4 linked regions of the Rhinolophus ferrumequinum genome follow. The main gene of each other region encodes a partner of the protein of the gene in region 2 in a complex. Links are inferred from orthologs where the notes say so. Each region holds a gene or a part of one and is shown on either strand. Other genes may lie near its edges. The genes, in order: HNRNPU, IGF2BP1, YBX1 and ELAVL4.

Region 1 (7,822 bases), on a different chromosome or scaffold from region 2:
TCATCACAGTCTCTACTTAATTTTTGGAGAGCTCTCTCTTAAAATAAATTATTCAGTGTGCATCAGGGTTGTGGTACAGTTCTCACGTTTTTAGAGGGTATATTTCGTTACCGAGCTTCCATCTCGTTCCCCACACACTGCTGGGCTCTCTGTGACTATTGATGTAAGACACTGCACCGGGTGCTGGAAAAGTCATGTCCATCTTGCTCCCTGAGCTCAAGGAACAGACCAGCTCCAAGGGTGCACATAGAAGGTGAGAGCTTATGAGGTAATAATCACTCTAGTCTTTCATCTCGTTCTTGGCTGTGTAATTCAGGATGGTCTGAATATTTTCTTCATCCTTTTCTATCAGGTACTGTGATACCGGCCAGGCACGAGTAATGTGTGTGATAATGTACTTAATAATAATAAACTCCTTAGCACTCCACTTACCTTTGTGTAAGATAAGTTTTGGTAAATGTTATCAGTCTTTACCTGGTAAATATTTTAGTTTAGTAAATATTTACTGAATATTTAGTAAATATTCAGAAAAGCCCTGACATATTACTTTAACCACGATTATAGTTTTCCTGCAACTTTCTAATGAGCGTGTTTTATTCCACAGAAGTTATGTGAAGACAGAGATTCATGACATCACAGACAAGATGATTCAAATAGGAAGCATTTACTTTGAAACTTTTAGCCTGTCGTGGTACTCAAGTCTCATGTAAATGGGAATATTTTGTACCATTTTAAATTCAAAAACTATAGTACAATGGTTCAACGTTCATGTCTACTACTTAATTTTAAAATGTTTTGAGACTCTAATGCAAAGTTTTAAACATAACAAGTAAAACCTGAATGTAAATAACAATGATTTCAAAGTTTAACAGTGCTCCCCCATTTCCAGCCTGGAGTCAGCAAAGAAGAAACTCATCGAAGGTTCTCTCTGGAGGGACTCTACAAATCTAGTCTGCTCTGCTTCGTACATACACAAGGACACTAATTTCCAGAGAGATCACGCAATTTGCCAAAGGTCACACAGCTGGTTACAGTGACAGTGCTGAGCTGAGAAGTCTGCACTCTCCTGTGTGGACAGACTTCATTTCACTTTTTTCTAGACTGACATCTTACAATGAACAATTCATGATAATTTACAAAATATGTATAGTCATAATTCCCTAAATAAGATATTAACAATCCAATCACAGATTTTCTTAAGTTCATTAAATTGCTTGGTGTATCTAATGAAGACTAGTATTTTTTGAGCTCTTACTGTGTGCCCAGCACTGTACCCTGAGTTTATGTTCATCACCTGGCTGAATTTTCCCAGCAACCTCATGAGGCAGGTATATATGAGTAAACTCAGGCATAGAGAGATACATAGCTTGTGCAAGATCACATACTAGCTACTAGATGGGACCAGCTCCTAGGTGCTCTGGATGGCACTGCAATCCAGGTCTGTCTGTTTCTAAGTTTGCACTTTTAACGAGAACTTGGTACATCCTCCCTTTCAACTGGGCTTTCCTATTTCTCTATTTGAAAATGTACTTTTAACACATTATAATTTGGAGGTACCTATACTTTCTTACATCTTTGTAAGAAGATTGGAAATTTATCTCACCGTATTTCTTGCTTCGTTCATTAACTTAAATTGAGCTTCATTGTGTTAGACCAAAAAGAAAAAAAAAATAAGTTAAATGGAATAGCATCTTGAGTCCACTGAATTTAGCACTCATATCAGTTTATGTCACTTCACTATGAATCAGCCTTTAATGTCTTTCCTCTCTTGGAGGCAAAGCTAAAGTCCTTACAAAACCACCTGCAAGGTTGCTTGCTATCTCTACCTCCTCTCTTCTCTCTTAACTCTCTGATCTCACTTCCTATCTTTCCTCTCAGGCCTCTGTATTTACTGTTCCCTCCACCTCTTCTAGATGTTTGCTCAAATGTTACCATATTTCTTAGGCTTCCTTGACCACCTTATTTATAGCTGAAAAACTCACCCCCCACCTCGGTACACCTCGTCCCTCTCCTGTTTTTTATTTCCCTGTAGTAATTGTTACCATTCCTATTTTATATTTGTTGACTACTCTCCCTAAGAGAGTGAAGGCATAATTATGTAGTTCACCGCTGTAGTTCTAGGATACCAGTGCCTAGACCTCTATAGGTCTTAGAGAAGATGATCAAAAATGTATTTGCTGAGTGAACTGTAGCACGTATGTACACACCTTTGCTTCAGCCTCAAAGTGTAAACTATGTGTTCTGAGTACCCTAACTTTGTAATGCTCTCTCATAGATCTAGTACCCATGGGTAATTGTCTAATCCCTTTTTGCTACTGAGAATTAATGTGTCCCCTCTTCCACTCTATATTCTTGGTAGTCTCTAGGATTTCAAAAAGGGGGAATTTTAAGTTCCTTATAGGTCCCTCAGCAATTTAGAGGAAGTGATCTATACTTTGACTGGTCTCTATAGAACAGGACAATCATGATAGCATTAAACTCTAAGTAGAAAAAACAGGGGCTGCCCCTTAGTTCAGTTGGTTAGAGTGCAGAGCTCCTAACAACAAAGCTGCTGGTTCGATCCACATGTGCCACTGTGAGCTGTGCCCTTCACAACTAGATTGAAACAACTACTTGACTTGGAGCTGATGGGTCTGGGGGTGGGAAACACACTTAAAATAAATAAAAGTTAAAAAAAAGAGAGAGAGAGAAGCAAAAACAATTAGTAAAATTATCATTATATGTACTTTCAAATTGTAAAGTAGATTCTACCCCTTTGTAGAAAGGACAATGTAAGGTGATGGCTCGACAGTTTTACAAAAACTGTTTTTCTTTCCAATGTTGTTTAAGAAGGTCCAGTTGTAAGGAAGGAGCACTGGGGTGAGAGGGAGAGCCTCTGCAACCTGGGCTGTAAACTGAGCCCACTGAAGATGTTCTCCAGGCTACATCGAGCTCAAAAAGTCTGCAAAGCTCTTGGAGTTAAAGCCATGGAACTATCTCCTGTCCATCTACAGTTATATTTCATGTTTATTATTAACTGATTTAACCTACCAACAATGATTATTATAAAGATATTTAGATATGTGAACTTTATTTTCATAGTTTAAAAATGTAAATATCTAAGGACACTTACAAACTTAAAGGACCGTCATGCTAACTATATTTAACTCTGATTCATTAAGAGACTAATTATTCAGTTTGTGAACATGTAAGCCTCCTGTGGCTCTCTTCCCGTTTTTGAACACGGGCAAAGAATTTGAAAAGTTAAAATTCCAGCTTGTGACTTGTTTACAAGCTCCAAGGACATTGTAACCAAAGGCTAACAGGAGTTTTTGGCACTATTTGGAAGTTCCTATTTTAGGTGCTATCCCTTCTACCTCCAGTAAGCTGAATTAAGAATTACCAGTACTGTACATGGTCCATTAATTTCAACTCAAATCACTTTACAAATGTTAATATTTCATCTTTATATACTACTGCCTGGAAAAATAACATGTTTGTTAAAGGCTATCGAAAAGAAACTTAAAAAAAACAATAAAATTAATCTAAAACATACTACCTATGGGAAAGTTTACATGTATATTTTTCCAAATTTCAAATTAATATTGGGGCCGCATTATTGTGCCAGCTAAAGCATCAAATAGTGGGTGTAACAGACCTCCTTAGTCAGAGATAGTGGAACACTGGCTGGTCCCTGTGCAGATTCTCTGAGGTTTAAGATGTTTACCTCCACCACAAATCTAAATTCTGGCCCCCCTATCTAAAACCTCAAGAACATAACACATCTTTTATTTAGTAAAGAAAAAATTACTTCTGAAAGACACCAAAATAACAGATTTTGAGGGTGACAAGTCTCTTTTTCTTTTTACAAAATCACAGCCCTTTATTTTTCACACGTTTTTATTAGTTTCAGCAGGATTTGGTCAAGAGTATTTCTACAGAAGTATGAATAGAATCAAAGTGTAGGATTTAGCTGGGACTTTACACCTGGACGACCAGGTCCTAAGTGGGACAGAATGTTTTACGTTTTTGGTTTTTTTTGGTAGGTAGGTAGAGAACACCCAGAAATGCAATTCTGAGGCTTCATTTCTTTGGCTATTAATACTACGAGAACAGCTGCCAAGACAAGGCCCCTCAAGTACGCTTTGCGGTATGGAGCAGGGATCACGCTCTTAAGGCAAGCCTCCATCTCCCAAGCCGTGCAGTAGGGGTTGTGGACGAGACAAAAGAAAGGCTTTGCCCTCGCCCCTCCCGAATTTAAAATCCAATTCACAGGCAGGACTTAGAAAAATTAAACGAAATATTACGCGGAAGAAAAACCCCTGCGTGTAGTAATTGCCAATTTGTGTCGTACAAATCAAAACTGAAAAATTGAAACCAATAGCTGGATAAGGAAAATCTAAGATGGAAGAAATGGTGGAGGATTCGAATTGAAACCGCCAGGTTGAGGACTGAAAGCATTTGGATAAAAGCAGCCTCAGGGCTGGAAAGGCAAAGAGCAAAACGAGTACTGCCACCAAAGAACTAGAAAGGCCAATAGTTGTTGCAGTGGGTCGGTTTAACTGAAAGGCGGTTTCCTTTCCCTCCATTTGCTCAGTCCCAATTGGAAGCGCACTGCGCGGCCCGGGCCGCGCTCTCTGCCCAGAGTTCGGCGTGGGGGCGGGGAGGTAAGTACGGTAATGGGCGGGCCCCGGCGCGGGCGCGCTCTGGCTTCCCTCCTGCGCAGCACTCCCGTCAGCGCAGGGGGCGGGGCGGCTATAATACGTGCGCGGCGCCGCCCCTGCGAGAGGACGTTGCGTGCTCGCTCACGCCAGGCGAGTCTCCGCGTCTCCCTCGCGAACTCGGTGAAAGGAATTGGCGCCGTTCGACACCAGGCGGGTCCGCTCTGCAGCACGAACCCACCTCCAGCCGCAGCCGCCGCCCGGGCCGAGGAGCAGCCGCAGCAGCCGCCACCAGTGGCCGAGTGAGCGGAGCCGAGTTCGAGCCAGCGCCTAGCGGTGAATCGGGGCCCTCACCATGAGTTCCTCGCCTGTTAATGTAAAAAAGCTGAAGGTGTCGGAGCTGAAAGAGGAGCTCAAGAAGCGGCGCCTTTCCGACAAGGGCCTCAAGGCCGAGCTCATGGAGCGACTCCAGGCCGCGCTGGACGACGAGGAGGCCGGGGGCCGCCCCGCCATGGAGCCCGGGAACGGCAGCCTAGACCTGGGCGGGGATTCCGCCGGACGCTCGGGAGCAGGCCTCGAGCAGGAGGCCGCGACTGGCGGCGACGAAGAGGAGGAGGAGGAGGAAGAGGAGGAGGAAGGGATCGCCGCCCTGGATGGCAACCAGATGGAGCTAGGGGAGGAGAATGGGGCCGCGGGGGCGGCCGACTCGGGCCCGATGGAGGAGGAGGAGGCCGCCTCGGAGGACGAGAACGGCGACGACCAGGGTTTCCAGGAAGGGGAGGATGAGCTCGGAGACGAGGAGGAAGGCGCGGGCGACGAGAACGGGCACGGGGAGCAGCAGTCTCAACCGCCGGCGACGCCGCAGCAACAGCCCCAACAGCAGCGCGGGGCCGCCAAGGAGGCCGCGGGGAAGAGCAGCGGCCCCACCTCGCTGTTCGCCGTGACGGTGGCGCCGCCCGGGGCCAGGCAGGGCCAGCAGCAGGCGGGAGGTAAGAAAGCGGAAGGCGGCCGAGGCGGCGGCCGCCCCGGGGCTCCGGCAGCGGGTGAGGGCTGCGTGGTAACGTTGCGCGCGGCAGGAGGCCCGCGCGGGTGTGGACCTTGCTTTAGGCCTGCCGGGGCCCCGTGGGGGGAGGGAGCCCCGGGCGGGGGCCGCGGCGCGGGTGGCGGTGGAGGAGGGGCGCGGGGAATCCCGGATTAGCCGTGAGGCCTCGGGCTCGGTGTGTGTGACGGTGGTGGCAGCGCCTCCATTATGTGGCTCGAGAGCCAGGGGAGCTGCAGCTGCCGCTGGAGGGGGAGGAGCCGCGGGCGGCGGGGGGAGCCCCGTCGGCCCACGGTGGCGCCGCCGCGCAGCGTGCGCGCGGTGCGGGCACATGTCTCGGGGGGAGGGGAGAGGCCCAAGGGCCCGGGGCGGGCGCGCTTTGGCGGCTCTGGGCCGCGGTATTGTGCAAGGAGCGCAGGGGCTCGCGTGACGTCACTTCCGACGGGAGGGGCCGGGTGGGGAGAGCGGGGCGGAAGATCTGTACAATGCGGCCGCGGGGAGCGCGGGCCCGGGTGGGGTGGGGGAGGGGAGGGGAGGGCGCGCGGGCTCGGCTCTGCCCCTCCCGCCTTCCTGAACTCTCTTCGGGATGCACGTGGGCTCGGCCTGTGCGGCGCTATTTTTCATTAGGTTTCTCGAATTTTCCACTAGACTGGCAAAATTTGTGGTGTTTATACTGCGTCACTAATTTCAATCCTATTCCAAGCTGATCGTTTGAATTCTCATTTGAGTCCGTTGTTTGAAAACGCTTCCAGAAAGGAACAAGGAAATGTCGAGCTTTTTTGCGTCTCAAAACAAAAGGGTTTTTTTCTGTTGTGTTTGCGGCTTGGCCTTCTAAGTAGGGGTGTTGTGTGTTATAGGAGACGGCAAAACAGAGCAGAAAGGCGGAGATAAAAAGAGAGGTGTTAAACGACCTCGGGAAGATCATGGCCGTGGATATTTTGAGTACATTGAAGAAAACAAGTATAGCAGGTAGAGGACGCTCACCTAGTTTTACTTGTCATTCATTCTTTACTCTTTGGTGGGAAAAGCTGTATCAGGAGACAATATTGTCTTTCAGAGCCAAATCTCCTCAGCCACCTGTTGAAGAAGAAGATGAACACTTCGATGACACAGTGGTTTGTCTTGATACTTGTAAGTGAAGCTGCTTCTTCCCTTTCCTCCCTCAATTGTCAGATGCTGTAATTTTGGGGTTCCACATGTTAGAAAACGGAATGTAACATTGAACTTTAATGCAGAAAGCTTAGGAGAAACAGGTTTTTAAAGGCAGGAAGATGATGACATTCCGATACCTTAATACTTAGTATAGCAGCAGTTGTATTGTATTGATAATTTTACGGGTTCTAGCAATTTTGTAGTATTTTTTTTATTACTTGAACTTTCTCCTTTGTAGGAATGTAAAATTAATGCCAATTTTGATTAGTTAGCTAATGGAAACTTGTAAGACTACTTATAACTTGTGCTTATGGGCTGCTTCTATAAAGTAATTTCATTTTTTTGTGTGGAATTATATTAAGTGAGCTATTTGGACTAAATATTTATTAATGACTTCTCCCATTAGCACACAAGTATATTCCCTATACTAAAAGATTGTAATATTATTTTCTCAATAACTGCTCTTTTGTTCTCAATTCCAGTTCAGTAGCTGCTGCTTTAACATAAGTTGATTTCTTCCAAAGACCTGGGGCAGCAGCAGTGGGCTATCACTGGGCCACTAGCTTTCTTCAGCAGCGAATGGTATCAATGGCAGCGCTGTAAATACTGCTCCTTTACCCAGTTGGGTTGCAATTGAGTATGAGGAAGTATTGCAAACCTCTAAATGGGCCGTGGCTGTCAGATTTGGAATTCTTTTTTATCACAAAGAAATTTTGTTGGTTTAGTATATGATCAGAATGTATAATTCTTTCAGTGATTAAGCAGAACAAAAGGTAGAAATAATTGTTCGAAAAATAAGGTGTTAACCTGCCCTGTAGATCCTAGGGAGTTGAAGCTTAGAGTTTTCATGTTTTCAATACAAATTGTATTTATTCAGATATGTAAGCATGTAAGTGTAAAATTTGATGTCTTACTGAGTACCCTTTACACCTAGTAAGGTAGTGGAGTAGTCTTTATAAAAAAAACTGCACATGGAAAAGTAGTCAGCTGA
Region 2 (7,482 bases):
AATTTTGACTATTTTACAGTTTTTCAAAATTTATAGTCATCTAAAAGAACCACATTAAAACTTCAAGTTGCAGGAAGAAACAAAATATCCCAGGGCAACAACAATGAAAAAAACAAGCAAACAACAAAATAAAAACCAAGCAAACAAAAAACAAATTCCTCTTAAAACTTTGAAGTCAGAACAGTTCTCAGGAAATGATAATTTTTATTTTTGTATATTTTATAGAAACTATAATTTCATTTAAAAATTATGGTTCATTAGAAAAATAGAAAAAATTCAATTTTAATGTATTTCCCTTCTAACTGCTTACCAATTGTTTTGTGTCCTTTCTTTTGTAAAACAGGCTAAACTTTTAAAATAGAAAGTCATTGATAAATGTTAGATTTGAAATGCAATATATATTCTGGGGATTTATCCATAGGAGCTAATCTAAAAGGAAAAAGTTATATGCCCCCCAAATCTATTCAGTTCCACTCAGAAAAGTAAAAAATTTGATGTAACATATATTTTAAAATAACAATGATTAACTTACACCTCCTGAAATGAATGCTACATGTTTGTTAAAAATGATAGTTATGAAAACTTTGAGGCAGCATGGGAAAATGCTTATGGTACAACAGCAAGGAAAAAATTAAGATATAAAAATAAGTAGACAAAATAGAAAATATTACAAATCGACAAATATTGGAAAGAAACATTTAAAAAATAAAAGTGAATTTTTATGACTGGTGGAATTGTTGATTTTTTCCACTTTATATTTCCAATTAAAAATGTTATTTCATTCTCTTAAATGTTTTTGTCTCTCTGCGTGTGTTTGTATATTCACATTGAAGGAAAATGGATCAGAATCCCATCTTTAAAATGGAGTCAAGGTTCAGGGTTTCTGAATTCAGAGGAAAATTCAATTCTGCAACTAGACCAAACAAGTCTCCAGGAAAAATGAAAGAGAACAAGAAGTATAGCATAATAATTAATAATTGATAATAATATTAATTACATAAATTATTATTAAAGAAAACAATGTATCCTGCAGCTGTATTTTTAACTCTTACAAACTAAATTTAACTGATTAATTTTTCCCAAAGAAGCTGTGTAGAAAAAAAAAAATTGAAAACAAATGCAATGTTTATTAGTTATCCGTAATTAAAAAAAAAGGATGATTAATCATGGGGTCCTAAGTCTGCTCATTCCTATCCCTAACCTAGGAATGTGAGTCTTGAGAAAAATAACCCTTCTCTCAGGTTAATTTTAGTGCTGGGCTCACTCAGAAGGGAGAGTTGAAGCACCAATCACCATCACTCAGTCCCCCCAACTCCAGCCTAAAATAGCCAGGTCACTGAGACAAAACTGATTTGGGGGCTGAAAAGGTCTGCATCTCACCCCAGCTGTCTCCTCTCTCTTGTGTTCTTGCAGCCTCTGACTATACACAGAAGCCCTTGGTGGGGGAGGGGGGGTGGATTAGAATTCAGTGAAACAGCTGATTTTTAAAACGCATCAGTTTCAATTTAGCAATGGTTGGTAAAATTTTAATTTTATACATTTACATTTTCTTCTCCACAGTCATTTTTATAAACTAATTCCAGTTCACATTTAGGCTTACATATTTTTAAATGGAAAAAAAATCAACCTAAAAGTGAACTGAATTCAATTATTACTTTAAAAAATTTTGTTTCCCTTTGATTCTAAGATAGGCAAAGGTGGACTGCATTTTAGAGGTCTGGATGTAGATTTTTGTGCGGTGTAACATGTTTTTGTTTTAGGAATGAAGAGATAGAGTAGTGGTTATGTCCCCCAGGGAGAAAACCTGAGAGGTGCTTCTATTAATTCCTTAAGATTTAAATTAAATGAAGGAAATAGCACGTCAAGTTTCTGGGAATGGAACGCCCTGCCTAGTACAATCTTTCTTGTTCCCCAATATAGCAGAAAAGATTGAAGGAGAGTGGGGCTCCTATTTAGGGAAAGGCCAAGGAATACAACAGCCTTTCTGAGACTATCTTTTAGCCCTTTCAAAAGTCCACACACAACACCAAGAAAAGTCCCCAGGCAACAGACCCACACATTCTGGCCAAGATAATTTTTTCCCCTTGACTCTTAATTTTCCTCTGAATTCAATTTGCTCTGCAGTTTGTATTAGCTCGTTTTCATTTACAAAATGTTTATTGAATGCCTACTATGTGGCAGGTACCGATTCCAGCTCGTTGGATTTAAAATTATGTTTATGGTCAAGAGCTCATAGAAACAGGGGAGGGTCGGAGTGGGGGGTGGGATACAGATGTCGCCCACCTTCTTGGATAGACTTTTTCCTCTTAGCAACTAATAGCATGTAGTATTTTAATTTCTGTTGCCCCATGGAAAGAAAAAGATCGCAAACAAAAATGCGACAAACACGTGGCTGGCTAGAACAAAACGCGGATTTGGAGGGTCGGTTTTGAAGGTGGTGGAGACGGAGACACCGAGTCGGAAGCCCTCCCCCGCCCCTACGCCCAAACCCATTTCTTTGCAGCGCGCGGGGAAAACCGGGAGGGGGACAAAGGTGCGGCATGTCGTCTTTTAACTCCCGACTTTTCGAACGGTATAGAATCGTCTGGCAGAAGAGCGGTGCTCCCAAGTCGGAGTCAACTCACTGACTCTGCAAACAAATAAGAAAAAAACCCAAGGCATTCATATCGGTGCAGCCAACACGTGTTGCAGAGTCGGCTCGGGCCGCAGGCGACTGAGACAATGGGGTCGGGGACCGGGAAAGGGAGAGTGACCCCCTTTCTCACCTGCCCTCGCAGCTCGCGTGCCCCCGACAGAAAGCTTTCTCCCTCCCGCAGAACCCGGAGGAAAACCCGAGCTTCCGCCTAGTTCAGGGAGCTTCTGGCAATACTGAGGGTCCACCCCCTCTTTCCCTGGTTCCCTGGCCAAAGGGGCTCCAGGGTCCCCGGGTCGCGCTCTCCGACACCCCCTGGCGCCGTCCCAGCCCCAGGCGCTGGAAACTCGTCGGCCTGGCTGGTCCCCCGGCCCAGGATCCCGGTGGCGCGTGGAACGCAGATCCCGTTCTCTGCCGCGTATCCTGGACTCCGAAACGCGCGGCGAACTGCCCCCTCCCCCACCGCCGAGACGGGGTGCGACCGCCCACGTGTCGCCCCTTGCCCAGTCGGGTTCGTCCCTCGGGCTCTCCGGGCCGGAGGATCCGGAACGAGTTGGTCAAAGGCGAGGGAAGGGACCTGGGCGGATCCGCTTCCCCTCCCCAGGAACAGGCGGGGGGCGGACCACCGCCCCCTCCTCTAAGCTCCCGCCCCTCGCTTCCCTAGCGCCGAGCGGAAACTACCCCCTCCCCCCGCGGGTCTGACCTGGGGACGGGGGCGGGGCTTAGCGCTCGGCCCCCTGCTCTTGGCTCCTCTCCCGCCTTCCCGCCTGGATTCCGATCCTGCGCCCCAAACAAAGTTCCGAGACCCCAACCCAACGCGGGGAAAGCTGCTGTCGCTGTCCTGGGTGGAGCGGGCGGAGGGGACTCCACCTGTCCGTCCCCGCGTCGGGGCGGGAGAAGGGGACCATTCGGATCTCCACCCGGTCACTCCCTCGCTGAGACCTATCCCTTCGGTTCGCCCGGGTCTGCTCACGCTACCACTCCTTGTCCTTCTCTCCACCCTTCCCTCTCGCGGGGTCTTCCTGGGCCGGAGCCACCGGTTCCCCCAGGACCCCAAAACCTTTTCGTTCAGCAGTGGAACCTTGGGTGTTAATTTCTTTCGCCCGTGGGAATCCCGAAACCTGATTTCCTGTGGATCCCTCGTTCCCAACCGCGATCCCCCGTGTTCCCAGCCTCCCGGTCCCGCGCTTTCAGGGACCCTCGGTCCTGGGTTCCCGGAGGCGAGGGAGTCTCCCAGGGCTGGGGCAGGGAAGGCCGAGACCCCCCCCCCCACTTAAAAATCCAGGAAAAGGCGCCTTTCTTTCTAAATCGCTGGTTCGCGCGACCCCCTCCTGAAGACCCCAGAGTCCTCGGCTTCTCTTTGTCTATCTCCGCCGTCCCCCGCCTGTCAGTCGCTAGCAGTTAACCATGGTAGGGTGGGCAAACCCCCCCACCCACCACAGGAATAAAAAAATAACCGTACATTTTATCCATAAAGAGGTGGGAGATTCTGGGCCCGACCACCCTCCCCCAGCCAGGGCTGGGGTATGAGGATGAGTGGGGGCGGGGCGCCTCCCTAGGGGCCAGATTCATGCAAAGGGGGAGGGGGCAAGTGAAGCTTCGGGAACGCAGCCCCCCACCCGCCGCCCAGTTGACTCAGGGGGTGAGTTGAGTGCCCCCCACCTCCGGCGGGAGATTGGTGGGCTGGGCCGGGCTGGAGGGCCTAAGGTTCCGGAGGCGTCGGGGGTCTTCCCCTGCAGGGTGGGTGGGGGCTTTCACCACGTGGCTTCGCCTTTTTTTTTTTTTCCGCTCCATTTTTTTTTTTTTTCAAGTCGATTTTATTTAGAGGCGGCGCCAGGGCGGCCGCGGAGAAACGTGACACACCAGCCCGCTCAGAGGGGTTTCGGACAGAAGGAAAGAAGCAGTGCCGCGTCGTCCACCTCCCAGCGCGCCGCGGGCACTTCTCCCGGGCCTCTCGAACTCCTCCGCGACCTCTGCGCGCCCTCTGGCCGCCCTTCGCGCCCCCGGCTCCGGACAACTTCAGGGGTGGGGTGCAAAGAAAGTTTGCGGCTGTCGCCGCCGGCCGCCCGCCCGCCTCTTGGCCTAGGAGGCTCTCCGCCCGCGCCCGCCCCCGCCCTCTCGCTCGGCCTTGCTAGGGACCGCGTCCCGCCCCGAACCCGCCACCATGAACAAGCTTTACATCGGCAACCTAAACGAGAGCGTGACCCCCGCCGACTTGGAGAAAGTGTTTGCGGAGCACAAGATCTCCTACAGCGGCCAGTTCTTGGTCAAATCCGGCTATGCTTTCGTGGACTGCCCCGACGAGCACTGGGCGATGAAGGCCATCGAAACTTTCTCGGGTAAGAGTGCTCCCACCTCCCCGAGAAACCACGACGAAATCCCCGAACAACGGAGACCTGCGCTTCTCTTTTCCGTGCCCGCCAACTGTGCTCTCCCACCGGCCTGCGGGGCTTGGCTTCAGGACCCACCCATCACCCACCTCCTTCGACGCCCCCACCCTACCCCACTCTCCATCCCTACCCCCACTCTTTCATGCCTACCCCCACTCCCTCACCCCTACCGCGCCGTGGAAATATTCGGCGTTTCCTCACCCCTTCCTCCCAGTCTCTGGAGGCTTTAGTAGGGTCGTCCCGTGACCCCTCCCGAAGGGGCGGGAGCCCCAGTGGCAGTAATGGGGGGGCGCCACTGAGGCGACCCCCGTCTGGGCGTTATTTTCACGTCGGCCCCTCGCCATCCGCGCCTGGACGCCTTCTCCACCCCATGAGCACCCCTGGCTACCCTTCCTTCGCCTTAGGCCTTTCCAGGCAGGGAAGGGGGCCCCACTTCATTTGCTATCTCCCGGGTTTCCGTGGGGACTGCAGCCTTCGGGCCCGACTTGAGAGAGGGGGTCCCGCTTCCCGCCCAGGCCCTGTAGGTTGAGCCATTTTGATTTGAAAGTGGGGCGTGAGCGGGTGGCGCGGTGGCAGCGGCGGCGGGTCGCCATGCTGCTTCCCGAGACGCGAGGCTGGGCGGGGAGGCGCGCGCCGCGGCCGCCAGGGACCCTCCCAGCGGTCCGGGCTTCGCTCCCCAGGGCTTCACCTCCCGACCGGCCCGACAGGTGACCGCCAGGTCGCCCGAAGCCCTCTTCTTTGGCTTGACGGAAAAATAGTTTCGTTTAGTACCCCCACACCCAACACACTTTGGGAGAAACAGGGGCCCTTTCTCGGCCCTTCTCCCCACATCTGGGAGCCGTGTAGGCAACCCGCCCACACAGACGTCCTCACACTCCTCCCAAATCCAGCTCCCAGAGCGATCCATGACCCAATTAGCCCCAGTGAGGCAACAGAACAAAATAAAAATTAAGAAAACACAATAATGAGTTTACAGACTCCACCATTCTCAGAGCGACCTTTTCGCATCCGGCTGCGAAATCCACTGCCTGGATTCCTAGGAAGGTCTCAAATCCCAGTAACTCCTGAATTACCCTAATGTCTTTCTCCTTCCTTTTCCCGCTCCCCACCCCTGTTCAAGCTCTTATATTGCCCCCCCCCTTTTTAATCTTTAGGGAAAGTAGAACTGCAAGGAAAACGCCTAGAGATTGAACACTCCGTCCCCAAAAAACAAAGGTAGGAAAGAGCTCTTCTCTGGGGAGGGGGACAGCCTGGGGGCCCTAAGAGGCTGTGTCCTGGGGTCCATAGTGTCTCCAGTGGAAGAAACCCATTTCTGGCCTTCCCACCCCCAACTCCGGATGTTGGGGGCAGGGAGGGAAGATTGGCTAAGATCTTGTAATGGGTGGTTTACAGCTTGTAAAAAAAAATAAGCTGGGCCTGGGGTGGGCTAAGAAATCTTACTTGGAAAAGTAAACTGGGAAAAAATAGGGGAGAAGCCTTGTGGAGTTTGATTGAAGTGTGAGGGGCCATTTTTGTGGGGAAGCTAAAAGTCTCCAAGAGTTTAGACTCATGGACATTTTTGCAACTTCCTAGCAGGCCTCATTTTCTGATTTTCTGTTTCTTCCCACCCTTCCCTTATCATAATTTTTAAGTGGATGTGGGGGGTCCCCTTTGACTCCCTTGGGGAGGTAGAATGAGTTCCTGCTCCCAAAAGAATTCTCTTATGCTTGTGTTTTATTTACATAATATTTCTGCAACAGGCAAGGACACTAGTATTTTCAGACTCCTACCCCCAGCCCCTCATATCCCACATCCTCCCCTCCCAACTGGATTTTGCAAAGAATATGCTTTGGCTGTACTATCCTTTCTGAGCCCCCACCCCCTTTCAGTCCATTGTTACAAGGGGACCATCTGGGGTGAGAGCTTTGTGTTCAGGCTGTGAGCTGGGGCTCTTTGGAGGGTCTAGAACTTCCTAGATGAGTGGGTGTGTGTGTGTGTGTGTGTGTGTGTGTGTGTGTGTGTGTGTGTGTGTGTGTGTGTGTTTGTGTGTCTCTCTCTGTCTCCGTGTGCCAGTACTATCCTCACTTCAGCAAAGTGGGGTACCTCTGTCATATCCCCAAATCTAATTCATGGTGGATTTCAAATCTTTTCATTGAACTCTGGCTGGGAAGTATAAGGGCAGAGTATTTCTGCTTTCTGAAATCTGACTTTAAATGTGTTGACAGTGCACTTTCCTCTCACGTTGCAGCCCCCAGTAAATCTTTGATTCTCTCACTCCCCTACTCCCCTCATTTCAACTGGAAACTTGCTGCATTTCAGAACAGTCCTTGGCTTTTCTGAGTGGGAAGGTGGAGGTGGGTGGCTGTGCCTTTTGGAGGCAGTTAAGAGGATCTAGAAAGTTTAACAGGAGGAAAAATCTAAATCTATTTGTTCTGTGGTTTAGCTTGAGATGTTTAACTTGGAACTATTGTATCTATAGAT
Region 3 (6,910 bases), on a different chromosome or scaffold from region 2:
AGAAAAGCCTTATTTTAATTATAAAAAGCTTAAGAACCTAGAACATATAATCATAGAACCCCAGAGATAAAATTAAAGTCATGGCAATAATCCCAAACACTGCATCTACTCCTTTATAGATAAACAGCACGTGTGTGTCAACCCCGCCCCCAGGTGTCTCCAGCCTTGGCTATATAGTGAACCCTGAACTGCTAACTCCCAGAAGTATAGTTCTTTAAGACATTTAAGGCAAACCTCTCCTGGACGTAACTGCAGTCAGATTTTAGTGTCTTTCTCAAAGTCTCAGAATCATTGGAATGACCTCTTTAGAAACATAAAGCACGTTTGAACCAGTTAATTTGACAAAATAGTTGAGGCCTGGACAGTCCAAACAAAGGATCATAAAAAGCCAATTTACATTTAACTTGTCCTGGAAGATGACCAGTTGAGTTGATTGCAAATCAGAACAGAGATATTCAAGTAATGACATCTCATAAAAATTTAGAGTATGTAAAGAACTACTCTTTCATATTGGGTTATCAATTGTCCGCTTCAAAAATATCACAATCTATGTCCATTTAACAAAATACAGCAAGAGAGAAGGCACATGCTACAATTTTTAAAGCACACACAGACTACCTTCTAACCACTGAAAAGACTGCAAATTACATTCCTTCCTACCCAAGATATCCTATGATTACATTGTGTCAAGGTTAAAAGCAATGTTTTTCAAGGTATGACCCACAAGCCACGACCACCTGAAATTCTTGTTAAAAATGTACCCCAGATCACCCCAATGAATCCAAACCGGGAAGGAAGAGCTGAAGAATTTGCATTTTAACACCCTTCCAAAGTTAAGCACACTTCAATTCAAAACCCACTATTTTAAGGGTTAAGCCAGTAAGATGGAAATACTAACTTAAATGCTAACAAATTCAGAGATCAATCAACTAAAAAGCGCTCAAATACAAGCACCAAAGCATTCCCTTCCTCACTAGTAGTAACCCATCATCACAAAACTGATGGAAAATGTAGCTTTGGCCTGTCAGGAAGGCAGACAGTGTAAGAACAGATGGAAAATTCCTGAAGATTTTGCAAGAAACAAAATGTCCCCCCCCAACTGCAAATACTGTAAAAACAGACCATCAGATGCTTCCAATCTCTTTTGCCCCCGCCCCATACAATAAACGGGTTTTCAAACAAGTCTGTCTCTCTTTAAGCTTGAGCTTGCCCATTTAGTTTCCCTGCAGTAGTGTCCATTTCACATTCGGTATTACTTCTTACTTGGTAAGTGTTCTTTTAAACCTCTAGTTGTTTAATACCTTCTAAAGCAAGCATGTAAGAGAGCGCTGAGATGCCCGTGTCACACCTGTAAGGCCCGTATCACCATCAGCACGCACAGTGCCTCTACACCCATGCCACCGCACTAGCCTTGGCAGCCATCTTGAAAATGATGCCCGCCTCACAGGGAGACCACGGCGAGTCCTGTGCATACACTGCACCTTACCACCACTATTACAAACAACTCCACGCGTTACGCCTAAAAACGCAGTCTGTCACTTTGCCTTCCAATACGAAGAACAATGTCATCACGGATCTATATGCCATCAGTGGGTCACATTTTAAATACCAATTTCAACAACGTGTAAAATGACAAGGATAAAAACGTGGTGGGCACCGAGCCTAACGGCATCACACTAGATCTTAGTTTCCTCAGTCTGCCCCGTTAGGAGACGGCTCGCTTAATCCGCCCGCCTTTTACATTGCTTTGTACCATCACAAGCCTTTTAAGTTAGCTTCACATTAATATTTAGATGCAAAACAAAGATAATCTCTAGATGCACGAATTTCTTCAGTCATCCAGGAAAACAAAAACCCACTACCACACCAGAGGGAGCAACCTACGCATGCTTCAACAATCCCAAATCCGCACAGCCTGCAGCTGCGAGCAGAACGTGCAAGAGGTAGGACGGTCAGCTCACCTGTTGATGAAACCATATCCGTTTCTTACATTGAACCATTTTACTGTTCCCAAAACCTTCGTTGCTGGAAGGAGAAAAAAAAAAACTCACGATTACCAGACATCCTTTTTTAAAACCGCCACGCTTCAGCATCCGGTCCCTCGAGCGTTTCCCCGCGGCCACCTGACAGCCTTTCTCTTCAGAGCCAGCTCGCCCGGCCACGCTCTGGCCCCCACCGCGCCTCCGCGGTCCACGTGGGTGAGCTCAAGGCACCAGGGCCAGGGTCGCAGGCCCAAGCTGGGTGCGCGCGTAGACAGCCGGCGGCGGGCGCGGCTGCCGGGCGGAGAGCACGTGAGGGAAGGGGAAGCAGCCCAGCCCACTCCGGCCTGCGTAGGCGACTCGCCGCGCCCTCAGGGTACACGCGGAAGGGAAAGGGTGGGGGGGACGAAACAACGGCGTGCGGGCCCCGGCGCACGCGGCCAGCGGGGAGGGGAAAGACCCTGCTGCACACGCGGTCAACTACGCGCGGCTGCACGGGGGGAGGGGCGCGCGGCTGCGCGGGGTCTACAGGGGCGCGGGAGCTGGCGCGTGCGCGCCTGCCGGGCACGCGAGCCGGCGTCCGCGAAGGCGCGGGCCTGGGGGAGGGGCAGCCGCGCTGCCGAGTCGGTCCCCGCCGGCCGCGCGCCCGCCGGCTCGCCCCGCTTCGGGTAACGGTTCCACCGCCAGGCTTTCCTACGGCCCAACCCCCGCCCCTTTCCGGCCCTTACCGATGACCTTCTTGTCCCCGCCGGCGGGCGCCGCCGATGTAAGGCCGCCCGGGCCGCCGCTCCCTGCGCCGCTGCCCGTGGTGCCGGGCTTGGTGTCGGCAGCGCTGAGGGCGGGGGCGGCGGGGGGGGCGGCGGGCGGCTGCTGGGTCTCGGCCTCGCTGCTCATGGTTGCGGTGATGGTGACTGGGGCCGGCTGCGGCAGCTGCGGCTCCTCCCGGGGTGTGATGGTAACTAGGCCGGCGGCGGCGGTGGGGCTGCTCAGGGCTCTCTGGGGTCCGCTCTCCGCTCCCGCTACCGATCGAACTAGCGAGAATGGCGGGACGGGCGGGATAAGCCTTGAGATCGACCCGCCCTAAGCATCGTTCACTGGCCAGGAGTGCTGTCAATCTTGCCACCTGACCCCAATTCCTGACTTCTATTGGCTAATACTTTATCACTCCTGCACTTTCATTGGCTCTTAGGCGGCTAATTTGGCCGACCTACAACCGTTCCTGCCTCTGCCGCCGCCGCCATAGAGACCGGAACTAGAATTAGAGTAGAGTCACCACGAGAACCATAGAGTACCGAGGACGGGCAGAGAGAACGTGACTTTCACTAGGCTGCAGCCTGGGCAGGCGGGCCATACATCCAGGATTGTATCCTGGTGGTAGGAAAGGCACGGCCAAACGCTTGAGCCAGGATTACCCGGCCGGAACCGGGGGCTTGAAAGGGGCCCCGTCGACACCTTAGCTCCATGTGGAAAGGCGGCCTCCCTCCCTTCCTGCTCCAAATATGGTCCTTGTGACCTCAGTTACTGTGGATAGAGCCTGCATTCTACAATGGCCGTGCTACTCGTGGCACAGCCGAGTGTTTCTGGACCAGACTTAAACGCATGCATTCAAAGAGTGTCCGTTTTCGGCGGAGCAGTCACCCTCGAGGGACCACGCAGGCTTCTCAGGCTGCCCTGCTCGGCATTTTTAGGGTGGAGGGCGGGGGCGTACTCCATGGGGACCTGTCTTCCCATCCATATTACCAAGCATGTAAGGATTGTCTTGTTAAATATTCAGGTCTTTTTCTATTGGCCACAAATCAGATTTAATCTCAAATCACGTTGATTGAGCAAGCTAGGCATTTTTCTTGCATTTTATTCTTACAACAGTCACATGAAATAAGGATTACTATCCATGTTTCACAACCGATCTATACTTGAGGCTGCCACATGCTGTAGCTGAAGTCCTTCATTCGTTGTTTAGTAAGCATCTACTATCTGCTGGGGATGGACTAGTACATCAGATTCTGCCTTAAATCAGTCTAGGATGAAAACAGAAATTTAAACTCGCAACCCACAGCGTTGCCAAAGCACAAAGCAATTTGGGAGTAAAGGTAGAAGAAGGCGGAGTGCTGACTCCAGGCACGTGGAAGTTTATGCAAGGCCGAGAGGCAAGAAGAGATTGGGTCTGGGGAAATGCAAGTAAAGTAGTCCAATAAGACTAGAATGAAGACATTGTGTTATAGAGGTAGGCTGGGTCAAATTAGGATTTTATTGAAATTATCCTAAGGGCAATAGTGATAAGGGTAATTTAGAGTTGTAAGTAGGGAGTGTCATCATTTTTTTAATGGCTGCTAAGTGGAGAATGGGTTGTAGGGGGGCAAAAATGGAAGTAGTAGGGAAAACAGGCTAGTGCAACAGTCCTTAACCCCCCGCCCCCCCCCCCCCCCCCCCCCCCCCCCCCCCCCCCCCCCGCCCATCATCTAGGCCTGTCATTCCACTTCCAAAAGGCATTCAGTGAATCAGTCCTTAAAACTCTCTAATCCCGTCATTCCTACTGCCCTACACTACTGTAGGCCATTATCAACTATTACTTAGAGCAGAAGCAGGCAAACTTTCTGTAAGGACCAAATAATATGTACTTTAAGCTTTGCAGGCCAGACGATTCTGTCTCAACTAATCAACCTCAGAGCCTGTAAGCAGCCACAATCAGTAAACAGGTTCCCCTGTTCCAAACTTTATGGACACTAAAATTTGAAATTCATATAATTTTTACATGTCATAAAATATTCTTTAGACTGTTTCAACTGTTTAAACATTTAAAAACCATTCTTATTCTTAGCTATATGCCATTGAAAAACAGTGAGAGGGCCTGCCAACTGTAGTTTGCTGAGGCCTGGCTTAGAGCACTCCTAGTTGGTTTCTCTACCGCTTTCTTATTCTAATATTCTCCACCACAACATCCAGAGTGTTCTTTTGAAAACATCTGATCATGACACTGTCTTACCTAAAATCTTTCAGTGACTACCACTACCCTTAGGATTGTCCAAACGCCTTAATGTGGTTTACAGGACTCCGTATGACTTCTCTAAACTTACTCCCCACTTGTCTTTCACTTCTTTGCCCAACCTTCCAGGTGATTTTAGCTGTTGGGCTATCACATACTATTCCCTCTACTGGTAACACTTCCTCTTTCCTTTCTCCTTTGCCTTAAGGCTTAACTCTCTATCCTTTAGGTCTTGCCTCAGATGTTATTAGGTGACAAGACTCTCCTATCCTAACACTGAATTGCATTAATTAAATCTTCCCAGCCAGACTGTGAATTCCTGGAGCACCTAGCATAATACCTGACACACAGTATCTTAATAAATTTGTTAAATGAATGAGATGGTGTAGAAAAGGGATTGGAGAAGGTACAGGCAGCAGAGAGGTCATCTGCGCAACTGTGCCAGTAATCCAGGTGAAAAAGGCTTGCAGCAACAATGTGTATGGAGAGAATTAGGTGGAATCTAGAGCTGCTATTCATCTGTGCCAGCTCCAGATGACTTTTGACTGCTAAGAAGAAACTGCAAAAGGCAGTTCTGCCAACACTGAGGACAGTGTGCCCCTATAGGTTTGCAAGCTTTTTCCCAAAGTGGAGTTAGAAAGACAATGACCGCAGCACCTGAGAATAAGTGAGCAACCTTCCCTATGTATTAATAACTACTTTGAAGAGATGGCTTCTCACGCAGAAATATAAATTCTGTAACATTTGTCTTTATAATGTTACTTAAAAGTATCATTAGTTACTCATCCAATTACTTCACTAAGCTGTCTCCTGCTAAGTGGACATAAAGATGAGCTCTTTCCTACTACTTTCCTTGTAGCCACCTCTCTACCACTACAGAGATGGTACTGAAGCACTGCAGGATAAACGGTTTATGTCAAAATGCATCTCCTGTTCCAAGGTGGGCGCTCTCTGCTCCACAGTTCTGCTAGTCCCCCTGCTACCCTGAGTGCACACTGCCCAGCATGGTGACCACAGTTCAGACAACTCCAGTGCCTATCTTTAAAAGTGATGTGAAAGGCACGGGGGTTCATTTCAAGAATCTCCTTTGCAAAATCACTTTTACCTTTGTCCCCATCTCTGACAGACTGGCCCAGGAACACAGTTCCCTCTTCCTGGAAAGTCCCCCCTCCCTTATCTCCTGGCTAATTCCAGCCAATCTGGCAATATTTACCTCAAATGTTACCTCTTCTCTTAGTCCTGGTCTCGCCACTCTGCTCCCATAGCATCTTGTACATACCATTACCATTCACACAACAAATGTTATTAAGCAGTTACTAGGTACTAGGTGCTTACCTCTTCTAGGTGCTGAGAACACAGTAAAAAAAAAAAAAAAAACAAAAAAAAAACCACAAACGAAAAATGAAAAACAAACCTGCCCAAAATCCCTGTCCTCATTAGGGCTCACATTCTAATACTCATCACGTTGTATTGAAACTGTGCCTATCTCCTGTCACAAGCATGGGCCACATCTGACTTATCTTTGCAGTTCCAGTGTCCAGGACAGAGACTGGCATAGAATGAAGGGTGCCAAGTGTAACTGAATTCAACCGAACGGCCCATCACAAGAAGGTCAACTCAAATCCCAGCTGCTCATCCTCCTTCCTATCTTTAATTCCATCCTGTTTGGTTCCTTGATCAGTTCTCAGTGCGTCCCCTCTGAACCATATTTACTTAGCTACAGAGTTGCAAATATCTATACTATAAGGCTCTTGTACAGCTCACCGTCTTCCTTGTCTCCCAATACACTGAAACGACACTTTTAAGCCAGGTTCTATTTTCATAGAATTCAGCTCTCTGCTATCTCTGCTGCCTGCAGTAGCCTGCTGCTAGTAGTTATGAGTCAAGTGTCCATCAGCCAGGAGAAAGGAGAAATGGGAGGACATAGAAATTGTCTCATGAAAGGAAC
Region 4 (7,061 bases), on a different chromosome or scaffold from region 2:
TCCACAAAATGATGGGGAAAGATCTCACTTTTAGATAAGGAAGATACCTTTCTAGAAAAATGCTTAGATATAACAATTGTCTCTACCATGAAGTTGTATAAAATTGTACATGTCAAGTGCCTGGTGCAGTGTTTGGTATACAGCAGACTTCTGGTAAAAGATAGCAGCTTTTATTTGCACTTTGTAAGTCCTATTATTTCTTTATTTCTTCTTGTCCTCCCTCTCCTCGCCTCCCCTTTACATTTCCCTCCTTCTACAAATAACCTTCCTTGCTTTTTACAATACATCTATTTCTTTATTCGTAGTTACAGATTATAAATGAGTCCAGAATTTCTTTTAATTCTATATTAAATTATTTTCAAAATTATTAAGCTGGTTTCACACTATATCCTTTAATGGTATGAGTACCTACTCCACACTTCATCTGCTCAGTGACCTTTGATTGGTAAAGATTTATTTATACTAGGGTCCCTTGTTTGTTTCTTTTCTTTTAAAAAAATTTTAGTAAAGCTCATCTGAAGTGAAAGACCCCCCAAATCCCTTCATGCAAGGATCTTCAGAAATCTCTGTGTGTCACACAGTGACCCTGCTGAGTTTTCTTGGGCTTTGAGGAAGGCTATGTCAGGGGAAAGTCCAGATAGGGACTCCACCGAAATTAGATTTCTTGAGTAAGTGTGCATTTACCTTTTTCAGAATTTACTAACAATAAGTCAGTTTTTCCATCCTTTAAATTTTCTTTCCCAGGAAGACACCCTATTGCTTTACAACTGTGGTCAAAGGTATGTTGATTCTGGAAAGAAACCTGCTTTCAGCTGCTGTTCTAGCATAAGGCGTAGTGGTATGGAAAAAAAAAAACGCAAGAAGATCAAGTGTGAACGACTCCTAGGTTAGCTAACCTGCACAGGTGAATTCTTGGCAATTTAAGTGGACTAGACAGCCATTTGTCTACATTTCCCCCTCACAGTAGCATTCTTCTAGCTCTTTCCCACAATCCACAGTAGGCAAAACTACTTAAGAAAGAGGAAGGCATCACACTGTCAGGTCATCTATCTCTAAGAGTGCTTCAGCAGTGAATCCCTAATCCTTCGAGTAGACTCCATGTCAGTCTGGTGCATCTTTCTTGTCTCTGGGGTATGTTTGCATTTTCCTATAAAATTTGATTTAATGTTTCTACAGGAAAACAAAAAAGACAAAACCAGCACCACAATTCACCAAAGGGAAATTATGATTTAAATTTTATCCAAAGTTCTTAAATATGGTATACCACTCTCTGGGCATGATGATTGTATTTTCCCTAAAGGAAGAAATGCCAGCAGTTTAGGTTTATCTTTCAAAGGAAGAGGAGAGGATAAAAAGAAATTGAACCACAGGAAAATGTCAGGTCATAGTATTTAAATTGTGTGCCATAATCATATTAGGGCAGAGCACATGGAATTCCTGATCTGTGCATGGCACTGAAGAAGGACCAGCAATTATCTGTGTGTGTGTGTGTGTGTGTGTGTGTGTGTGTGTGTGTGTGTTTGCTCTACCTTCCCACCCCATTTTGCTAATTCAATTGAGGAGCAAGAAGAGGTAATCCAGATACCCAGAACAGGAGGAGAAGGTCTGCAGCTGTGCTTAGAGGAACTGGTGTGAAGAGAGAGGCTCAGTCTGACTTGGAGTTTTGTGCTATTGCATGTGAATGCTCTGGAACTGCCCTAATCGACTGAAAATGAGCCGGCTACAGTCATATGGAACAGGTCTGTTTAGCCACATCTCTGGGTAGCATGGCAGATGGTAGACCGTCAATGGGTGGTATTGATTGGCTGGATTTGCCTTAGGGTAGCAAGACTATGGGTCCTTAAAAACCCGCTTCATCTTATTTTCCTTTATGCAGCTACGTTCAGTTGTGGTTTTCTTTTTTTACTCCCCACCCCCAGCCCCCAGTATCTCCTTTTCTCCCTTTTCAAATCAAAAACCTTCCTTGGTAATCAAAACAGAGAGGTTACCTTGAGATAAACACTCTTTAAATTATCACCAAGGCAAGAAAACTTGAGAATATTTTATTTACTAGGCTGATTACATTTTAATGTTTGAAGAAAGTGACATTTTTTAATTAGTGTTTAAGACATATGGTGAGTGTACAAATTAGCTTATTGCATACAACCAGAATTTGATGTGAGCAACTCCTCCTTCTCACTCCCCAGTTAAAAACTGTCACTTGAAACTTAATATATGCGAGGAGGTTAAATGGTATTAAGTGATTCAGCCTTGACTTAAAGATGAAGGAGACAGTCACTGTTGTGTGTGGCTAAATGTTGCTTGGATAGGCTGGAAAAATACTAATCTCAACATCCGTGTTTGCAAGAGGATGTGGAAATTCCAGGGCTTTAATTTTGTTCAGCCAAGAAAGCAAAATCCCAGGTATCTGTATGCATTGGTTTCTCTTTTAGATACGAGGAAACGTAGAATGGTGCTTGCATGCTCTGTGAGTAATAAAATTCTCCTTAAAAATCAGGCCTTGTAACAAAATAAGTGATGAGATTTATTTTTGTTCAGGTGGTTCTTAATCTTTTAGCATCCCCGTCCATCACTTAGGGCTTTCAGCTTGGGACCTTCTATTTATTCCTGGCAGAAGAGCAGATTAATTGGAATAGAATAATACAAAGGAGACACCAAGTTAGCTATACATCCAAAATAGTATACGAAAGAAATGTTCCACTTCAAAGCAGATCAGCACTAGGGGGAAAAGAACAGCACTGGGGAGAAATATGTGATTAGTTTACTCTTCTGGTTGTTTATAACTATTTGTATAATTGTGTTTTTAAAAGAGATGCTTAAGATTTGTTTTTGTATTTGTTTTTCAGTGTCTTTACTCTTAAGCGTTTGGTTATTTCCTATCATGAAAGACCATATCAAATAAACTTAATGTTTTGCTCAGAAGAAAAGTTACACTCTTGCCTCCATTTTGTATGTGCTTCGTCCATATGCATATTTTTGAATTGAGTTTTTATCACATGAGTCAATATTTCTCTGTTTTTGCTAAAGGAAAATATTCCTGTGGAGTTTTTGGTATCCCCCCTTACTCTGTGTTGGTTGGATTTTTCCTTGTTCATCCTTTGCTGAATGAAACAAAGCTTGTTTGTGTTTCATTCTGCACAGTTCTTATTATTATTATAGAATTGATGATGGTATTTTGTTTTGTTGTTTTGTTGCTATAAGTCAGGAGAAGAAATTTTATTTATTTATTTTGACAACATACAGAGAAAGAGACATGACAAGATGCCTGTTAGGATGCTGGCGTTTCTCATGTCACATCCTATACCCAAAAGCTATTCCAAGGGGGAACAAAAATCAGTCTTTTAAGATGGTTCATTTGAATCTGTGCACTCTACCCACCTGGTGGTTATATAGTGAACTGTTACTTTAAAGAGTAGTTTAAACACCAGCCATGTTTGGGGCAGGCTGCTCTTGCAAAGAGAGCAGTACATATAACAGGAGTCTACTGTGTGTGAGATAAGGGGAAAATTCAGCTCACTGACTAGAGGTTTTAATGTGCAAACTCTAGGGAAATAATATATTGACTGTTCCGTGGCGCGCAAGAAAATTGAAGAACCCTTTGCAGACGGAGTGCTTTGCAAAGGATTCTATCTGTTTCTCTTAAAACAAAATCTGTGGCAAGATGTTTGAAATCAGCAGGACGCTTAATGCTGCTTTGTTAAATAATGAGGTAATATTTTGTCACTTTTTTCTGGGCAGCATCTGTTTTTGTTTTTTTTTTCCTTTCTTTTCCTTCGCTTCATTTCTCCCCCCGTGTTTATGAAGGATTCTCTTTTTTTCTATTCCTTTTTTTTTTTTTTCCCTCATGGAAGTCAAGGAAATACAATTCACGCTTCCATTTCTGTTCCTTCCTTTCGGTGCTTTTGGAAAATTTGGTTGTCTTTTTTATTTGCAGTTTCAGCCGGCTGCTGTTTCCTAGCCCATTGTGCCCTGTAAGGCTTCTCCACTGCGTGGAGTAGGTAGTTATTAACGCTGAATTGGCTTCTGGTACAGTCCATCTGGACTCTGTGTGGGAAAGCTGGCTGCCGGCGACTGATGCTGAGATATCTGCAACCTTTGGGATGTGTGCATGGTGGCGAGGGGCTGACTGATATGAGATTACTTCTTTTAAGGGAAATTGTTATTAATGAGTCAAGAAACTGCTCATTTATGGTAAGAGGGATACAGCGGCACTGGCAGCCCCATAGCTCTGGGATATCATTTTTAGGTTGCCTTCGCTGCTTGAGTGAGACAAGTTTCTTTCTGTGGTGGTAGAGGATTGTGGCGGAAAAAAAAAAATCATGCATGACTGGGAGACTCGCCTGCCTGATTTTTGAGATAATATATTGAGAATCTGTTGCTTTACAAATGTCACACCACTGATGTAGCGGTCAGCCCCTCACTCTGAAAGATGAATGGTACTATTGGAAATGCAATAATAAGGTTGACTTTTCCCAACAATAGGATTCTGCCTTTGTCTTTAGAGAAAAGGCCTCTGAGGACATTTGTGCATTTGTCTGAGGATTCTGTTGAAAGACTTTAGAGTGGAGGTTTTGGGAGAAGTGATCAATATACAAAGTACATGGATTTTTTTAGCCTAGCAAAACCAGCTAATTATTTATACTGTAATATGCAGTTCCTATTTTGGAAAAGTGGCCAGAGTATCTTTTGGTATACCTGTTAATTTATGTCTTACCGAGTGGGCTGAGGTTAGTATGGATAGGAGAAAAGAATTTAAAAAAATTGTGACTTTTATAACCTCCAGAGAAATACAAATTAAATACAAAGTGAAAATCCAAGCCAGCTGTTTTTATTTGTGTTTGTCAGCATTGTGTTCATGTTTACTTTTCACAATATTTTGATGTTGGTGAAATCACATTCAGAGTTTCTGTTGTTGATTTTGAGCACCTGTACCTGCCCTGTGTGCGTATGTTAAGCTCTTGAGCACACTTAACCTGGGAATTCATCCTTAGTACACAGTTCAATAGATATTATAGTACTGTTGTGACTCACAGGACTCTATACATTTACTAAAGAAATTATTTTAAAAGTTTACTTAATTTAGTATTGTTCCACTTAAAGGAATTTATATAGTCTTAATATTTCCACTTTTATATTTCCTGTGTTTTTGTTTCTAATATCTGAGTTTATTTGTATTCAAATCTAATAGTTCATATAGTGTACCTCACACATATTGTTTTGTGGTGTATCTGTATTTTAAAAAGTGTGTGTACATATGTGTATGTATGTGTCCATGCTTGTAGAGCATAGTTTTAATTTTTAGAAATGCAAAAGTTATTTTCTTTTCTAATAATTTTTCACAGACCCATTTATTCTTGGACTTTGAAGCCCAGAGTGTAGCATGGTTTTTGGCCTGTATTTCTACTTTGCTTAGTCCCATCTCACTGTCAACTCCAGCCAAAGATTAAAGATTATGTTGAATTATGTCTTTAGTAATATTTGTTACCTCTGTGTATTTATTGAGGAACAAATTGATTAAGTTATGAATTATATAAATAGTGATAAGTTAGCTTTTTGGATAGAAGTAAAGCACAAACGCCTCAGGTAAGCCACTTAAAAAACTGAAACCAGAACAAAAAACTGTATAATCAAAGACTTGGTAGAGTAGAGGTTATGAAATGTATAGCATACACAGACTGTATACATCACCACACACTTGCTAAATGTCTCCATGCAAGTCTTTTAGGAGGCCAAAGAAGAAAGACATCGTTTGAAGGACAGAAGCAAAATCACGTGTTCAGTTAAGCAAGATGAGCACTCTGCACTGGTTATGAAATGAGGCTGTGTCAAAAGCATGTTATACCTTTCTCTAGAGCAGTAGGGAAAGCAAAGAGAGAATGTGTTTTGGTGGATTTTTAAAAATTCAGATCATGCCACTATCCAAGTTGAGAAATAAGTTCATTTAAATAAATCATTCATCATTCTCTGTTTTGAAAAGCTTAGACAGACGACAGAAAGGTAGAGGCTGACAGCTGCCCTCCTCCTCCCCCCACCAGCTTTTTTCTTTTTTGTTTATTAGGAAATAGTTTTCTGAAGCAAACTTGTATGAACCTAGTTCCCGGAGCAAGCACAATCTCAAACTTGCTTTCTTTTGAAACACTGTCCATGTTAGCTGCAGGACGAGCATAACTTACTAAAAATCAGCAATATTGGGAAATAATAAAGTTAAAATGTGGATGTATTAGCACATTAAAGTGCTTTTGTTGTATCTTTAAGCCTAGAGGCAGATCATTAAATATGCATTTCGCTAGAAAGCAACCATCGAGAAAGATGAGGTGGTTGAAAATATTCTAGTTGGGAAAAGCCCTCTGTCAGAGGGCTGGGGTGGTGCAGCCCTCTGGACAGGGAAAACGGAGGACACTCCCACTGTTAAGATTTGCAAGCCACCAGTGACCTGCAGTTGTTATAGTACTTTTGAGCTGGGAGGAGGGAAGAGGTAAAAATACAAGTATGGCTGTTGTTGCTTCAGCCTGGCCTTAATTACCAGACACAAGAAGCAGTTCAGAAATCTGGTCTCTGTTGTTGTAGAGGTCACCAAATCATTAACATCGTCAATCTGGCAGTAGCTAATTTAAATAGCACCTGATGTTGCAACGCCTCCCTTCGTTTCCCCAGCCAATCAGATCTTGGCTTTGGCTGACAGATGGTCCCATAAATGGATGTAAAAAGGGGAAGCTTCGAGCCAATTTCAGCAAGGCTCTGTTCAGTTGTTCTTATCTACATCCTAGAATCGGGGGTTTCAGCTCAGTGCTCCTTTTCTTTCTTTTTTTTTTTCTCTCTCCCCCTCATCCCCCCAAAATAGTTGATTTACTTTACAACCATCCACACTGTGTTTTGTGGATCTTTAAAAATATATAATAGTACTCATTTAAAAATATATATTCCGAAACCTTGCAAATTTTAAGAGAAGAGTCGAAGCTCTGCGAGACCCAATATTTGCCAATAAGAATGGTTATGGTAGGTATGACTAGATTTATAATCTGTTGTTTGTGTTGCTGGAGGGAAGAAAAGCATCTACACCT

What was found.
Region 1: IGF2BP1 (region 2) and HNRNPU share a complex: the UniProt entries of both Homo sapiens proteins name them as parts of the coding region determinant (CRD)-mediated complex. The link is inferred for Rhinolophus ferrumequinum from reciprocal best matches to the Homo sapiens genes IGF2BP1 and HNRNPU.
Region 3: IGF2BP1 (region 2) and YBX1 share a complex: the UniProt entries of both Homo sapiens proteins name them as parts of the coding region determinant (CRD)-mediated complex. The link is inferred for Rhinolophus ferrumequinum from reciprocal best matches to the Homo sapiens genes IGF2BP1 and YBX1.
Region 4: IGF2BP1 (region 2) and ELAVL4 share a complex: the UniProt entries of both Homo sapiens proteins name them as parts of the TAU mRNP complex. The link is inferred for Rhinolophus ferrumequinum from reciprocal best matches to the Homo sapiens genes IGF2BP1 and ELAVL4.

Annotation. Positions count from the first base shown.
Region 1 is NC_046310.1:16,462,183-16,470,004, forward strand, and holds the start of HNRNPU (heterogeneous nuclear ribonucleoprotein U), read left to right. Parts: upstream 1-4,801; 5' UTR 4,802-4,995; coding exon 4,996-5,629; intron 5,630-6,536; coding exon 6,537-6,648; intron 6,649-6,736; coding exon 6,737-6,810; intron 6,811-7,822. UniProt on the Homo sapiens protein: DNA- and RNA-binding protein involved in several cellular processes such as nuclear chromatin organization, telomere-length regulation, transcription, mRNA alternative splicing and stability, Xist-mediated transcriptional silencing and mitotic cell progression.
Region 2 is NC_046304.1:34,183,721-34,191,202, reverse strand, and holds the start of IGF2BP1 (insulin-like growth factor 2 mRNA-binding protein 1), read left to right. Parts: upstream 1-4,480; 5' UTR 4,481-4,796; coding exon 4,797-4,971; intron 4,972-6,176; coding exon 6,177-6,237; intron 6,238-7,482. UniProt on the Homo sapiens protein: RNA-binding factor that recruits target transcripts to cytoplasmic protein-RNA complexes (mRNPs). This transcript 'caging' into mRNPs allows mRNA transport and transient storage.
Region 3 is NC_046292.1:30,054,148-30,061,057, reverse strand, and holds the start of YBX1 (Y-box-binding protein 1), read right to left. Parts: upstream 3,017-6,910; 5' UTR 2,874-3,016; coding exon 2,708-2,873; intron 2,026-2,707; coding exon 1,962-2,025; intron 1-1,961. UniProt on the Homo sapiens protein: DNA- and RNA-binding protein involved in various processes, such as translational repression, RNA stabilization, mRNA splicing, DNA repair and transcription regulation.
Region 4 is NC_046292.1:35,738,556-35,745,616, forward strand, and holds the start of ELAVL4 (ELAV-like protein 4), read left to right. Parts: upstream 1-4,045; 5' UTR 4,046-4,074; coding exon 4,075-4,191; intron 4,192-6,702; exon of another isoform or gene 6,703-6,987; coding exon of another isoform or gene 6,988-6,996; intron 6,997-7,061. UniProt on the Homo sapiens protein: RNA-binding protein that is involved in the post-transcriptional regulation of mRNAs. Plays a role in the regulation of mRNA stability, alternative splicing and translation.